Lytechinus pictus: one gene and its partner. The protein of the gene in region 1 purifies or fractionates together with the protein of each later gene. This does not show direct contact. Links are inferred from orthologs where the notes say so. Each region holds a gene or a part of one and is shown on either strand. Other genes may lie near its edges.

Region 1 (8,613 bases):
CTTTCATTCTCACCATTTCTATCCCTTTTTATTGCTGAACCTAGACTGTTGCTCCTCTTAAGTCTCCTGCTAGAGCCATTGCTTTTTCTTACCACGTCTGGTTCTTGTTCTCTTGATTCTGAATTGATTTGTAGGTCTTGTTGCCGAGGCGATAAGTCCACATCTTCAGTAGATGTAGAAATAGCTCCAGGTTTCAATCCTTGACCAAACCCCAAGTCTCCTTCTTCCATTTTTGAAGTAAAATGTTTCTAAAGCATTTTCAGAAGAAATTATATCCAGTTGTGAGATAGCATCCTCACTCACATGAAACAATATTTTAGGCACTTCCGACTGCTGAATTTAGAGTCCAATTTCGCCTGGAAGATAAAATCTCCATTTCTGGTCATCATTAAGACTTAGACCCTGCATTGATTTAAATAATAAGGAAAAATTAAGAAAATGTTAATGTGGAAACAACAAACAATAATAATTTAAAATCAAATTATTATTAACTAGGTGTAGATCTACACCTCTAAAAGTTATATTGCTACTTGCACATTAACCCAGGGAGCTCCGGCCCGCTGTGCCCAGGGGCTTACCATGTATTTGACCATACTCACGGGACTTGCATGATTTATGGTCTAAATATTTCTCCAAATGAATTGTGAAAACATAAATTATGCACTTACCGCGATTATATGGATGAAGGTCTAACGAGTGGCAGTTTCCTGACATCGAGGCACATACTGGAACTTCAAAAAAACGAAAAGTTCTCTCCTTCTTTTACCCCCGTCTCGATCGGCCATTTTTGTTATGAATCGTAACAAAATGGCCGATCGAGACTGGGGTAGGAGAGAACTTTTCGTTTTTTTTAGTATGGTCAAATACACGGTAAGCCCCTGGGCTCCGGCCCGCTGTGCGGGCCGGAGCTCCCTGGGTTACTTGCACATCAGATATATGCTGGACTGTCTGATGTATCAATTATCATCGTGATATTCATGGTGTGTGTATGTTCCCAAGTCAAAGCAGTTTCCCTTAATCTTTAAAAATGAACAATTGAGAAAACATACAACCCAGCATATAATAACACAACTACAAACTAAAATATTCTGAGTAAAAAAATGATGAAAATGTAATTAAATGTTACATTTCAAGCATTCATGTATAAAAAAAAAGGGCCTCAAAAAGACAATATGGGGCCTGGGGTCATCAACTTCAAGCAGGCTTGCCCCGAAAACATCTCCCGAATTGTGTGATAATATATTTTGCTTTAAAATAGATATCAGGGGATTTTGCCATGATTGCATTGTTAACCCCCTATTATCAGCCTAAAGACAAAGTAATGGCAACTGCACGACCGCGAGCCGTCTGTTTAACTTTAACAAGGAGAAGAAAAAAATGTTTAAAAACTCATCGAAACAGACGGCTGCCAGCTGTCTACAGTAGAGGCGCTGGTCAGAAAATTGGGATCGTCCCAGAATACAGGGACTGTCTCAGTTTATAAGGATTTCTTCACACAAGAAATCTAGGAAAGTTCATTCACCTGTCAAGTGCCGACACCAATCAAGTGTGCTAGTCAATGTAAACATATCAGGTTTCATAACAAGATTATTGGAAGACGGTAAGTCATGAAAAATAGACGGCGAACTGGGGGGAATTGAGGTCACTGAATCTATTTTTAGCACTCTCAATTTCCGTAATTGCTGTCTTTGTCCCGTAGGGAGAAGTGAAAAAAAAACGTCCCCATAAACAAGGACAGTCTCAATTTATCAAGACATGATTTGTCTTGGTTTATGAGGATATCCTTGTTTTCTGGGACAATCCCAGTTTTTGGACCAGCGCCTCTACTGGTCTAGGCAATGCTAATGGCCTGCCTGCCGAATGACTCCTTCATTGTTTCATTTGATAAAAGGAAATTTGCCATTACGATATTCACCTATTCACTTGCTTGCCAAAAAGACACGCACGACGAAGGCCGGCCGAAGGCGCGGCAGGGATAAAGCAGCGGATAGTGGCCTTCTGGAGCACGGGGCTTGCCCGGCGCTGTCATCAGGTACAGTCCGGTGGGTCCCCCAGCAATAGGCGGTGAGCCTTGTGTAGGTAGCGCGAGCAATAACAATAACATGAATGCGATCATCCTGGAAGAAAATCTCTACCATAACGTTAGAGATTTATTTTTTAGACTTAGATCTGTTTAATACTTATATAACAATTTTGTTTTTTATATTATTTTAAATATTTAAAACCTATAAATTATATTTTTACGTGATTATAATCTAGCATGAGTTATTCAGGCCGCATTATATTGATTTGTGAATATAATTTTTAGTTGGCAACTACCCTCAAGTACACAAATTCTAGTGTAGACCTTTAAAATATTATGAGTCATTCAGAATGACGTGTCGACCGCTAGCGCTGCGCCCACGCAAGCGACCAATTAGCGCCCGATCACCACAGAAATATGAAAGAGCTTGTAGTGTGTCTTCAAAAAGGTGCAAAAGACGGGAAATGTCCTCTTTTCTAGATGAGATACTGTCAGATTTGATTTATTTTCTATTGCTTCGCTCACAATGTTCATAATTTAAAAATTTCAATTGCTAAAAATCAAAATGTATCAATATGAGAGCTATGCCTATCATTATGAGGATTTAATGATAACTAACACTCAAGATACATTCATGCGGGATTTCGGTAAAGTGTCCTTCGCATATCGTGAGTTTATTGTCCAACCCCATTTGTAGGAGTGCCTCTGTACATTGCCTCTGTATCATATAGAGGGGGCCTCGCGGGTGGCGTAGGGGGGGGGGGGATTGTGCAATAGGGCCCACGGCAAAAATTATCACCCCTGACAGGGGCGGATCCAGCTTTCGCCAATAGGGGGGGGGGGCCGAAAAATATTTTCATCAACATTTTTCTCGATTGGCCGCTATAATCTGATTTTTTTTTTTTTTTTTTTTTTTTTGGGGGGGGGTTCAGGGGGTAGTCCTAAATAGAGACTGAAGTTTTAAGTATATGTTAGTTTTTATTGTTATAAACTAGATAAGGTATATCATGTGGTCTTAATATATAATGCGAGCGCAAAGCACGAGCTCAAATTCTTTGATATTTTATGTCCTTAGACCTGAAGATTCTGAGGAGATTTTATAATCATGAAAAAGATAAGTATCCAACTAAACAATGCGAGCGCGAAGCGCGAGCCGAAATTTTATCATAGTAACGTGAAAAGGGACTCAATTAGGACTGTTTTTATTGATTAATGAAGAGGATACAAGTATCACCAATTAAATAATGAGAGTGCGAAGCGCGAGCTCAAAATTTTTGATATTCCGACCTGAAAACTGGACAGTCTAAGCGCGTTTTTATTTAAATACAGAAAAAGCTGTGTGTCTCAAACAATAAAATGCGAGCGCGAAGCACAAGCTCAATTTTTTTATATACTGACATGATAAAGGAGCATTTTGACAAATTTTGGTAAGAATTTCCAAAGAGGATAGGTAACTCACAAATCAAACAATGCGAGCGCGCAGCGCGAGCTGAAAATTTTGATATAAACAATTTGTGTAAAACAAACAAAATAATTAAAGCTTGATGTGCGAGCTAAAATATTGTGTGCAAATTGATTTCAGATCTGGATATATAAGTGTCATTTAATCCTCTTGAATGGGATTCATTGGCACAGGCAATGCGAGCGCAAAGCGCGAGCGAAATTTTTTATATAAAGTTCTTTTTTCCAATTCTTCCCCTCACCCTTTTCTTGTTTCCTTTTGGGGTCGGGCCGGCCGTTACGAGGTTGTAAACTACACATCCTGGGTATGATACCTCTTTCCTACTTTTCTTTAGTGCTTTTCCTATAGTACACTTTTTCTGCAGGTTGTCAAAAAATAGGGGGGGGGGGCCGGCTCGGCCCCCTCCTGGATCCGCGCCTGCCTGACGCATTGGGCTCAGGACAAGTCCATCCCAATAAAAAGTTAATAAAGGAAAAAACGAAAAATCCAACAAGCACAACACTAAAAATTTCATCAAAATCGGATGTAAATTAAGAAAGTTACGACATTTTATGATTTTCTTTTAATTTCACAAAATAGTTATATGTGCATTCTGGTCTGTATGCAAATGAGGGAACTGATTGCGTCACTCATTCACTATTTCCTTTGTATTTTTTTATATGAAATATTTTAATTTTCGTCTCATTAATTGTTCTGTGTATCAAATTCCTTCATAAACATGTGGAATTGCCATTGTTTTAACATTTTTATGGTTCAGTCAAGTTACACTCTTAAAACAAATCATGATTGACTAGACCAGTATAGCGGCTGGGTGCAACTGATATGAAAATAAATGATTATCACATTTCTGACATATCGAAATAACTCTGTTCTAGTAATACGACTAGAAAAAACTCAAATATGACTAGAATAACAGTTGCACCCACTGCAGCTGACCCTAAGTCATTTTTGACTGGTTTGTCTTTAGAGACGGTGTGGTCCTTTTTGTCATATCTGTAAATTCAAACAAAAAAAACATTAAAAATGTGATGGACATCATCGACATTCTCATTTGCATATCACTGAGTTGTGCATATAATTAGGAAAAATAAGTGAAACTTTGAAATGTCATAACTTTCTTATTTTACATCCGATTTTGATGAAATTTTCACTGTTACGCCGCTTGTTTGATTTCTCTATTTATTCAAATCAACATTGAGTCCTTCAAACACAGGCTGGACAAACATTGGTCTTGCCATCATCAAATTCTCCCCTACATAAAAAAAAATAAATATCCGTCCACCCTCCACGCAACATGCATGCATGTAATCTACAAGTCATTTAAAATAGTCAAGTTGGAACAAGCACTATCAAAAGGAACGACCGGAAGTCTCGACATCAGGCTTGCCTTCTTCTTCCGTACACTGATGATGATGATGATGATGAACATTTTTCTGGGGTGGACTTTACATTTATCAACTAGACCATAAACTTAAGTCTGTGTACCATTCCCGGGTACCATTGACTGCTCTGCTGAACTACATTAGCTACACTTTCCTAGTTTAGAAGGGTGTGTGAAGTCTAATATCAATACACTTTTTATTATTTTTGTTTGCTCTTTTGTAGACACCATAATATAATAAATCGATTTTTAGGTCTGATATTTTCAGGATTATGCGCTAATGGTCGCTAGAAAAACCGCACAGTACGGCGTAAATGAGTAATCGCTCATAAACGTTGACAGAAGAAGCTACAAATCCATCGTTATCACCGTCCTTCGCTACGAGACCACCCATCTGATTCCAAACAAGAGAAGTGACAGTGAATTGAACGATCTGCGACGTGACGTGCCCAGTGATTAGTCAGAAGAGAAAGAGAAATAGTCAAGTCATTCTAACGTTACGTTAGTTTCTACCTCCACTGCTCAGGCTCCATGGTCAAGTGCAGTGTGAGTGTAAATTGTAATGATGAACGACAACTAACAGAGGCTCTGAGTGAGAGTGGAACAGTACTGTCAGTGGAACGTGAACTGGAGTGGAAGCAGTGACGAGTCAGCTCAGAAGATAAACTGAACTGAACGGAAAAAAAGGTCAGGGTAAGTTTCAGACGGCATGGAGATTGGAGGGGAAGGGGGAGGGGGAGGAGGCGACAGCGTATAAAATAAGACAGTCACTGAGTCAGTTTCGCATCGGCCGGCCTCAACTTCAAAGTTCAAGTTCAATTTTTTTTTTCAACTTTCAATCAAGCAAATTTCCCTACCAGGGGCAGTAGGCAGTCTTCAGGTGAAAATTAGGAAAGGCTGTTCCACTTCCACTTCCAGCATGTTTTTTATGCTCACAATAAATGAGGCTCAATATCTACGATTCACAATCTGTTTGAATTTTCAAATTCCGACTTCTAGAAATCGAGTTATTGTCATCTTTGTGATACAAAATGACTTTTTTGTGGACAAAAGATGATTGCGTAATCCAGGGCCGTAATCTTATTATTCTCTTTGTTTTGGGCATGGCACACTTATATTATAATGCATAGCTTATGGGGAATGTACAAATATTTTGAAAGCTTTTTTGCAATGATTTTGACTACCCCTGGACGATTACCCCCCCCCCCCCCCGGACAACTACACGGTACCCCATCCAAAAATCTACACCTAACCCTATTTCGGGGTACTAATTGTCCTGTGGTACTGGTACTCATTGGTAGGTTTGTGCACAGGGTAAACATGACTTGATATGGATTTCTTTTGCTTGAACATTAGAAATTAAATTTTCAATGAATATAATTTGAAATAAAAAGAAAGAGAATTCAAATAATAATCTCAGAATTTTTAGAGAAAAAAATAAAGTCAGATTAATTTCAATTATTTATTATGATTATCGCATTATTGTTATTATGGTCTCAATAATATTTTAAATATTAGTATTGTCTCATTATCATTGTTTCATCATTGTTGTCAAAATTATTGTTAGAATTATAATTATAATCATAATTATAATATCAATAATTATAATATAATAATAATTATTGTCTAATTAATATTATTCTCAATAATTATTACAATTATAATTACTATCATAATTGTTATCATAATTATTTTATAATTGTTTCAATAATGATAAGGCCTACATAATTATAATTATTTTAATTATAATTATTATAATAATGATTGTTATTGATGTCTCATTAATATTATTGTCTCAATAATTATTACAAAATGTATAATTACTATCATTATTATAATTGTTATAATTATTTATAATAATTATAATTGTAATAATAATTATTATTGTCTCAATAATTATAAGGGCTATGATTATTATAATTATAATTATTTTTATAATAATAATTATTGATGTCTAATTAATAATATTGTCTCAATAATTATTACAATTATAATTATCATTATAATTATAATTGTTATCATTATAATCACTTTCTAATAATAATTACTATTGTAATAGTAATTATTATTGTCTCAATAAAATTGAGCTCTTCATCCACAATGACACCAAGATCATCTTGGTGTCATTGTGGATGAAGAGCTCAATTTTAATCAACAAGTCTCAGCAGCTGTTTTGAAAGCTAACCAAATACTTGGAATAATACACAGAACTTTTTCTCAAATAATCTCTGAAATATTACCAATTTTGTTTATAAGTCTGATTCGACCTCATCTGGAATATGGGAACATTTTATGGCATGTGAGATTCAAAATGGATGCAGACAAAGTAGAGAAGGTGCAAAAGAGAGCTTCTCGCATGATTCCTGGTCTCCAGATTTTAACTATGAGCAACGTCTAGAGAGACTCAACCTTCACTCACTGTTTTATAGAAGATGAAGGGGAGATATGATCACTGTTTATAAACTGTCAAATGGAAAGTTGGGGATCTCTAGTGACACATTCTTCACACCAGCAATGCACTCAGCAACAAGAGGTTACAAGTTCAAGCTTTTCATACGACGATCTCGGTTGGAACTTAGAACTAGAAGTACATTTTTTAGCCAAAGTATAATTTCTGATTGGAACAAACTGCCTACAGAAGTAGTGGAAGCTAAATCAGTGGAATCAGTGAAAAGATTTAAAGATCTGTCGGACAAGTTCTGGTGGGGGGGATTGAAAACCTCTATTTCTCAACGCATGTAAAGATTCATAAGTTCAAGCTGTATAGATATACTTGTAAAATACCCAAAGTAAAGACCAGAAAATCTACAGGAGAAGTCTTCATTTCCGTTCCTGATGTGATGAGAGACTTGCTATGATATTTGCAAAGAATTACTGGTGGGGAAATTTGCTTGAAGTTGGCCGATGCAAAACTGCATTTGCGCAACCCTTAGCCTTGATAAATGTTAATTATATTGAATCAAGCTTAACTAACTATCTTACAAAGGTATAGATCATCATTTTATGATAATTTTTGTTTCTAAAGTGATTCAATTGGTACACCTTACATGTATTTGTATATTGATCATGAACAGTGTTCCCAGGTCCAAGCTGAAGAAAATCCGCAAAAGGCACTCGAAAATTCCACCAATTGGAATCTACATGTATATCCCCAAATTTTTCAAATCACAATAATTTCTGAAAAAGTGAGGACATTTACCATGATTATTGCCCAAAACTAGTTAATATGTGCTTGTTTGTTCACACCATACACAGCAGATTTTTATTATTATTTTTTTATTTTTATTAAAGGTTTCGATGCAAAGTAGATTGGCAACACTACCATTGTATCGTACAACCAACTAAGTTCAATGTATCATTCGAATTGCGTAGGAAATGCGCTGATGTACATTCTATGATCTACAGTAGATCGTATTTTTATTATTAGCATCACATTACTGAAAAATAACAAATCTTAGTGCTTTTTATCAAAACCTTCAAATATCCCCTAAAATGCATGAAATTTCCCCAAATTTATTTTAATCCCCATTCCCCAAATAATTTTTTCCATCCCCAAAGGCTTCTCAAAATCCCCAAATTTTCAAAATTTGGACATGGAAATCCCCAAATGGCAACACTGATTAATCAAAATCCAATTATGAGTTTTCATTCAGAGCAATATCTTTCTGAAAAACAATTTAATCCTATATATAGTTAATTTTCTTTTCTTTTCTTGACAGATTTAGATAACTACAGACACCCAAGTCT
Region 2 (7,772 bases), on another chromosome or scaffold:
TTATGAAATAAAGACAAAAATCGATGAGCCCTGTCGGGGGGATTTTGCATTGTTCACCCCCTAATGGTGGCTGCACGATAGCGAGCCGTCTGTGTACGAGGAGAAATTTTTTTTTAAATGTTTAAAAACTCCTCAAAACAGACGGCTGCCAGCTGTCTACATGGTCTAGGGCAGGGGTTCTCAAACTACGGCCCGCGGGCCGGATCCGGCCCGCGGAGCTTCTCTATCCGGCCCGCGAGACGCTGCTGGGTTTTTTTATCACTTATAAGTCCCAATATTAAACATAGCTCAATATGATTACATTGTGTATCCATGAAACCGTAATAAAAGTAATGGCAGTCAAATTAATTTGACTTTTAAACAAAGTTTAATGGAGTCTTTTCTGTCTTTTCTACATTCTAATTAGATGACCAGCGCGGCGCTTCATTGAAAAAAAATTTTCACGTCAAACGTCGGATAACACGTTGCATTTTGAAAACATGTGCGCATACATTCCAACACGCGATCAATTTGGTTAAAACGTAAACTTAATTGCCGGTTCAAGTTCTGCGGATTTTCTCAGGGGTACATTAGTCATCATTAATAATAGCCAGGTCAAGATGGCATCAAATTCTGCAAATAAAGGAAAGGTGCATGCTGAAAATCGTGCTTTCCATAAAGAATGGACAGACAAGTATGCTTTCATTTTGCCGCAATCGAGTACAAGGCCAATGTGTTGGCCAATCTACTTTGACAAAAAAAAATATTGATAGGCCTACTACAAAACATTATCTGTCTCTTAAATTCCAGGTATGTGTTAAAATTGACGTATAGGTACAATCTACATTCCTTTTAACAAAGTACAACAATTTTGTTGTCTATATTGACTCTTGCTGTATTTTGAAATCTTTTCTGATATTGCCTGTGTTCCATATGAAACCGTAATTATTTTTTGGATTAAATTCTCCCAAAAATAAGGGCCAGATTGCCCCAGATAGCATCTAGGACCCCGGCCGCAAGGGTCTTCGCGCTTCGCGCACATTTTTTTCCAAAAAATCCACTCACCCTGGCCCTTTCAGGTTTATTTCGAGTCTCATCTGGCCCTTCAAAGAAAAAGTTTGAGAACCCCTGGTCTAGGGTAATAGTATGCAGCGCTTAGAAACATTTGTATTAAGCGCTATATAAATGTTGCATATCATTATTATTATTATCCCTTTTACATGATTTAGGCAAGATCTTTTAGATGGAAAGTAGACTAGAAATCTCGGGGGCAAAAATTTCTGTTTCTTTCACGGTACACGCACATAAATGGGACGCAATTCCTGGCTCCGTGGAGAGTAAGCACATGTTAGTAAATGAGTTTTACACTCTAACGTTAGGAGCCTCCTGCTTGGCTAGCTACACACACCCAACACCTTCTCTATCCACTCATTCAATGAACAAGGTTATGATATAAATAATGTCTCTATCTAACTTCTAAGACAGGTTGTGTGTACTGACGATCAATTTTAGAAAGTCATTTGGAAAAATTTACAAGCGAAGTTTCATCAATTTTTAGTACAAAATGTTAGGAAATATTATAGAGACAAAATAGAAGATGATTATAACTATTAAATTCATATTTTTAGTGTAATCCAAAGACAAACAAGAAGGCTTCAAAAATATAAAGTAGGCCTATCCGAACACCCGACCCTCGGCCCTCCATCCATGATCCTATTCCTAAAGTAAAAAAAAGAGTTAGGCCTAACTTGACTTTGTTTACCTCCTTGTCCTTGAACATGTTCATGGCCTTGACCTTGTGCTTGTGACAGTGTTGGCGGCATGTCTCACAAGCTGATGACAATTCAAACCAGATATTATAAGATATATTAGCAATCGAATTTTGTTCTCTGTTGGCATTGGAGACGAAACAGACAGAGCTGGTGCTGTACTTCGTATCGAAACCTTTCTTCAACCGCGCCGGGTCTGTCGGGTTGGTATTCGTAAGCGCGATGGTTCAGCGCTGCCGCGAGTTCAAGAAGAGACTGATTGCGAAAGATGTCACGTCTATGCAATATGCCCTATGTACGTCGAGCCGGACAAATCGTCCTACATAAGAATCGCCGTAACAAAAATACTCCCAGCTCAGATCGACCCGACCCATATATACTTCAGTTGCTGCCTCATGAAAAACTTATATTTCACTTAACTATATTCAAAATACTTCTCAGATCCGTGACTTCAAATTTGGATTTATAAAGAAAGGAACAGTAAAATTAAAGAAGGCTAGCTGGCGCCGGATTTTCTGAATCAATCGAAAATCAAACAAGCATATAAAAAATTCAATCAAAATCTGGGGCCCGTTTCATAAAGAGTTACAATATTGTTTTAACTTTGCCATTATGGCAACTACCATGGCAACAGGGCTCAGCAGCCAATAAAAATCAAGGTTACCATGGTAGTTACCATAATGGCAAAGTTGCAACTCTTTATAAAACGTGCCCCAGGTGTAAAATAAGAAAGTCATAGCTATAGGTAAATGGATTCAGGTTTTGGCAAGGGGGAGGAGCATATAAGCAGCCAGCGGCGACGAGTATAGTCTGCAGCACATACTTTGATCAACAATCTCTCCACGCATCGACGAGCACATAAACTTGCTGTGGCAATAGGCTTCCAGTACACGTCATGAATATAGGCTGCACATTCTGACCCTTATTCTAGTGAAGCTATAGGGTTGGCACAGCAGACTAAGCCTGCATGCAGTGGTGGCGGCGCCTTTAAAAAAAAACGTAATTATCACACCCGTAAAATCATCGCGGGACTGCCGATTCCGGCGTGACAGTGTGTCGTCTAAAATGCAATATTATTTGGTTTGGTGGAGACAAAAAGGGCGGAGACTCCGGCTTACACTCCCATAGGCCTATTGTGCTCCATGAGGATAAGTATGACTGTGTCCACCAACAACATTTGGCATTTTTGGGGCATATAGTTTATTGACCATCAGTGCAATAACTATATATTTTGCCCATTCTAAAGTAAATTCATAGACGGATCCAGGGGGCGAGGGGCCCGCCCCCCCCCCCCCCCCGCTGGTGGAGCAAAAAAAAGATTTTAAAAAAGGGGGGAAAGACAAAAAAGAGTAGGGAAAAATAGCAGAAAAAAGAGAAGGAAGACGAGTGAATAAAACAAAATGAGGAGAAGACTTGGAAAATAAACAAAATCTTTCATGTTATGATTTATGAACATAAACAAAATTTTGAGTGGCTGTCGCAAAAGGAACTCTTCCCTCAGAGAGGAATCTTTCATTTCACTTCGCGCTTGAATTGCCTGTTTTGGTTATGGGGTGATTATATATTTTGCTCAATATACAAAACATATTTCAGTTCGAAATCGAACTTTCATTATTTTGTTTGATTTACGAATTAATTTTAAAAAGTGCTTTGTAAACATGTTAGTTTTAAGGTCAATATTAACATTTGATTTGTCAGGTAGGCCCTATTATTTTCGTGTATTCCATAAAGTTCTCAAAATATCCATATTCACGGTCGACATATCAGCTACCGATGCACGCTCTCATTTTGATTGGTGAGTTATGTATAGGCCTCAATATTCTGAACTATATTTCCTACTAGGAAGATCATGATTTACAAAACATGGACAGAGTGTCCCGTTTCTAGGTCTAAAATCTGAATTTTCTTCAGCTCGCGCTTCGCGCTAGTATCATTGTTTAGTTACATTCCTATCCCTTTCATGATTACAAAAAGTGCCTACCGTTGGCGGATGGCACAGCCCGCCGGCCCGTGCCCCCCCCCCCCCCCATGGAAGGCACAATTGAATTTTGTAATGTAAAGATGCCGTTAAGACAGAAGTGTGCCCCACCCCCTTTGAAATTGAAGACTTTTTTTCTGCTTGTCAAATTATTTTGTGGACGAAATACCCTTATTAATAAAACCCTTTTTTTTGCTTGTCAAAGTTTTCCTGTAAAAAATGTGCCCCCTTTCGAAAGATCCTGGATCCGCCCCTGCTTAGAATGACCATTATTTTAGGTCGGAATGACAACAATTTTCAGCTTGCGCATCGCGCATGTTACAATATTTATCGTCTTCATGGCTATAACTCGGGGGCTAACTGCAAACAGTTCTTATCAGGCCGGAACGTTTATTCAAAATTTCTGATCGCGCTTGGCCGCGCGTTCGCAGTAATTATCTAGTTATATACATACGCATCTTGTTCGCAGGATCACAAACATTGCCCAGAATGTTAAAATTTCAGGACCAAATAGGCCTACATGAAAGTTCAAAAACAAAAATTAGATCGCGCTTCACGTCCGCTCGCACTTTTTAAATAGGGCTTATGAGATTAGTTTTATAACAATATAGCTAAGAAGTGACAAAAATCAACTCGGCCGATCGGGAAAAATCGGGGGAAATATGGGTGAAAATGATTTCGGGCCCCACCCCCTACTGGCGAAAGCTTGATCCGCCCCTGTGACAAATCAGTATGCACGGACACTTTCAGTGCCCCACCCCCGATTAAAAAGCAGGGACTCCCAGTGTCCCCCCAGGAAAAGAAATCCTATAACTACGCCACTGACATCGAATTATTGATTAAGGGTTATATTGTCTCTTTGGAAATAGTAGGGTCAATGATTGAAGAAAATTTTGGTAGCTTTGGATAAAAAGAAATGGAGGTAGAGGCCACATAGGCCTACTTTTCGTTTAGATCGAACGATGTATATTGAGTAAAGAGAGTTTGATGAGGACGAGTTATTAGGGAGTCTCCGTACTATCCCATGGTACACTAGCAGCTTGCTACGTCAACTAACTCGACACTGCATACCCACTACCTAGCTATGCATGCACTCAGCTCAGCCAGCCGGTGCGGCCACTACCACTATACCGTACACAGACAGACTGTGCGTAATTACCGGTGGCAAGTTGTGATGATTCAACGAAGCAAGATGTTTGTAGATCTATCCTTCTAACGGTTATATTATAGTTGATAGATTGTGGCACGAGAGTCGCATCTGCATTTATTGACAAAGTTATTTTTCCTCAGATTTCGTCTGTCACAGAATTGTTCAAGAAAAGAGGAGGCTTAATCAATAGTCATCAATTCAGAGCTGGTCTTTCGTGAATGACATTTCGTCATGAATGATGTGTGAAAAAACTAACTAACATCGTCATTGAACAAGAGTCTTGAGTCAAGGAAAGAGACGTTAATTTAACAACATTGAGTAAAGGTGGTTGGTGGTTTGATGCGATTGAGTTTCTGAAGAACTTCTTGATTGTTATCTTTAAGCAGACATCTGTTTCGTTACCGAGTCTGAGCTGAAACTTTGGAGAAATTGTGTAATGTAACGTGTAAGTTTAAGTTAACGTTTAACTTAATAACTGTACTCTGTAGTCAGACCAAAGGCTCCACTTTGACTTATTAGTATAGTAATATTAATGGGGATGATAGTAGAATGTCAGAAATTGGTAAAGAATCCCCAGAAACAACAGTTATTCCTGTCCAGTAAAGCACCAACTGTGCCAGCTAACAGACGGAAAGAGTTCCTCAGTCTTGCGACACTCCGACTGGCGACATCGCGACAGCCACCCAAAATAACGAGATTGTCGCGACTTCCGGTCCATTCACTTCTTGTTCCTCCATCATGTTTTTTTTTAAAGAAACACTAAAAAAAAAACGATAGAGGAACAGGAAGTGAATGAACCGGATGTCTCGACAATCTGATATTTTGGGTGGCTGCCTGTTGCAAGAGGAACTCTTTCCCAGTTGGGTCCTTTCTGATGGCCCCGTTCTTCGCAAAATTTAAATATTTTGGTCACTTGAAAATGGTATCCTATTAATTATTGCCTAACATGTTTTCTCTGGGAAAAGTTGTAAAATTTACAAAATCACTGATCATCTATTTTGTTGTTTTGAGAAAATAAGGGCCTTGAAAATATGACCCTTTTTCATCTATGTCACATGAGTTGCCTATACACATCCACACCTGAATAATTAATGATTAGATGAGTGGGCTTCATTTGTAAGGATTTGTAATGTTATTGTTTAGTTTCTCTGGGCAGTTTTCGATGTGTAGAATCTAGACATTTCATTCCTGTTTTTTTTTTTGGGGGGGGTCCACATTTTGTGCTCTTTTCAAGAATGATTACCAGTCAAAATATTTCTATTTTGGGGGGCTTTTTACATCCTGCCTAAATCTGCATTTAATAGATCAGCTTTAAAATAGTGAATGGGGATTTTCTAGGGTTTTTTTTTTATTTCCAGAGCTCTTTTGGGGCAAAATCTGAGCTCCAGTATAATTTTTCTCCCTGATTTACATTTTGATACCCCCCCCCCTTGCCAGTTATCTTGATGCAAATACTTCTTTATTCAGAATTCAATCTTTCAAGGGCAATCAATTAGAGTTATTGAGTTGCGATATCACCAGTTGCATTGTCTGTCTTCCAGATCTTGGCAATGCCATACACCACCAATGTACAATAGACGTCGACACCCTTCAACTGAAGAAAACATTAGTGAGAGCAGCAGGTTTTCCGGTAACAGTGGGTACCACCAACGCAGCGGTTGGACGGTCACTACTCACATTCCACCAGAGACTCTTTCCACGGCAGGAGGAGTAGATACTGGCGATATGACTTGCCGAGATCGCACCCAGGAGTTCCTCTCCACCATCAAGTCCATGCAGTCAAGACAAGTAAGTATCTGGAGAGGGGGGGGGGTAAACTTTTCATTATTCATACACGTGCCACTTTCACTTTCAGAAATCTAAAATTATTAGACAATGTGTAACATTCCATTTTATTTGATGACATCACAATGTACATCACATGTTAGTCATATTTCATAATTGTTTGAATCATGTAAAGGATATGTTGGGTCAGTTCTTAATGAAATTGTGAACATACAATTTTTTTTTCTTTGGGTATCAGAAATGGGAATATTAAAAATCTTTCATGTTATATTAACTAAATACATGTAACTGATAACTTGAATGCTTAGATCAAATACAGCTTTACTATTTTAACTGTTATGCAGTGTATATAAACCTTCGTTAAATTCTTCTTAGATCATTTGTTAAAAAATATTTGTAGTGCTTGTCCCTCTTATCTTATAAAACTTTTATTAGAGGTTTAGTCTTTTTACACATGTTAAACTTTCTTTTGAAAGTGTACCCAAGTCTTGAAATAGAAATGATAAAAGAGAAGAAACAATAATAAGACATGTTTATTTTGCAGGGCAATGGAGTGACAGCTAACAAACTGAATGGAAAGCCACAACAATACACAGATTTCATGAGAATTGCAAAGTAAGTTTCTAGGCATTAAAGGGAAATCCCCCCCCCCAAAAAAAAAAAAAAAAATGTTTTTAGAAGAAAAAGGAATATCAGACAAGTAGATAGGCAAAAGTTTAAACAATATTGGACAAACAGTAAGAAAGCTATGAATTTTTTAAAAGTTGTAAAAATTGGTAATCACTTATACCCTTGGAGAATTCAAATTAGCCGTATGGTGATGTCATACTGGTGTAAGGCAAGGAGTACTTTTCCATTTACTCCAATACACAAAATGGCTTTAATTTTTTTTTCGAAGGTTTTACTCTAAATTATATTTTCCTTATGAGGACATTAAAACAATTGATTACCTTGGTTGTATTCTGATTACTGCCCTAGGGCAATTGATAAAACCACACATCCGTGATAATATTTTAAAAGTCGGAACTTTCTTATTGCTTGTCTGCTTTCACCATTCTATTTACTTATGTTTTTTTCCCTCTCGCACAACTTATTATGACCAAGGTTAGCT

What was found.
Region 2: the proteins of synaptobrevin homolog YKT6-like (region 1) and syntaxin-5-like purify together in Homo sapiens (affinity purification with mass spectrometry; 3 studies listed by BioGRID and IntAct, with this or other methods). This does not show direct contact. The link is inferred for Lytechinus pictus from reciprocal best matches to the Homo sapiens genes YKT6 and STX5.

Annotation. Positions count from the first base shown.
Region 1 is NC_087256.1:1,624,660-1,633,272, reverse strand, and holds the start of synaptobrevin homolog YKT6-like, read left to right. Parts: upstream 1-5,142; 5' UTR 5,143-5,559; intron 5,560-8,585; 5' UTR 8,586-8,613. Other genes in the region: coiled-coil domain-containing protein 125-like, read right to left, coding at 1-230. UniProt on the Homo sapiens protein: Vesicular soluble NSF attachment protein receptor (v-SNARE) mediating vesicle docking and fusion to a specific acceptor cellular compartment. Functions in endoplasmic reticulum to Golgi transport; as part of a SNARE complex composed of GOSR1, GOSR2 and STX5.
Region 2 is NC_087251.1:41,208,899-41,216,670, forward strand, and holds the start of syntaxin-5-like, read left to right. Parts: upstream 1-4,662; 5' UTR 4,663-5,321; intron 5,322-6,417; 5' UTR 6,418-6,442; coding exon 6,443-6,664; intron 6,665-7,205; coding exon 7,206-7,276; intron 7,277-7,772. Other genes in the region: methionine synthase-like, read right to left, coding at 1,742-1,802. UniProt on the Homo sapiens protein: Mediates endoplasmic reticulum to Golgi transport.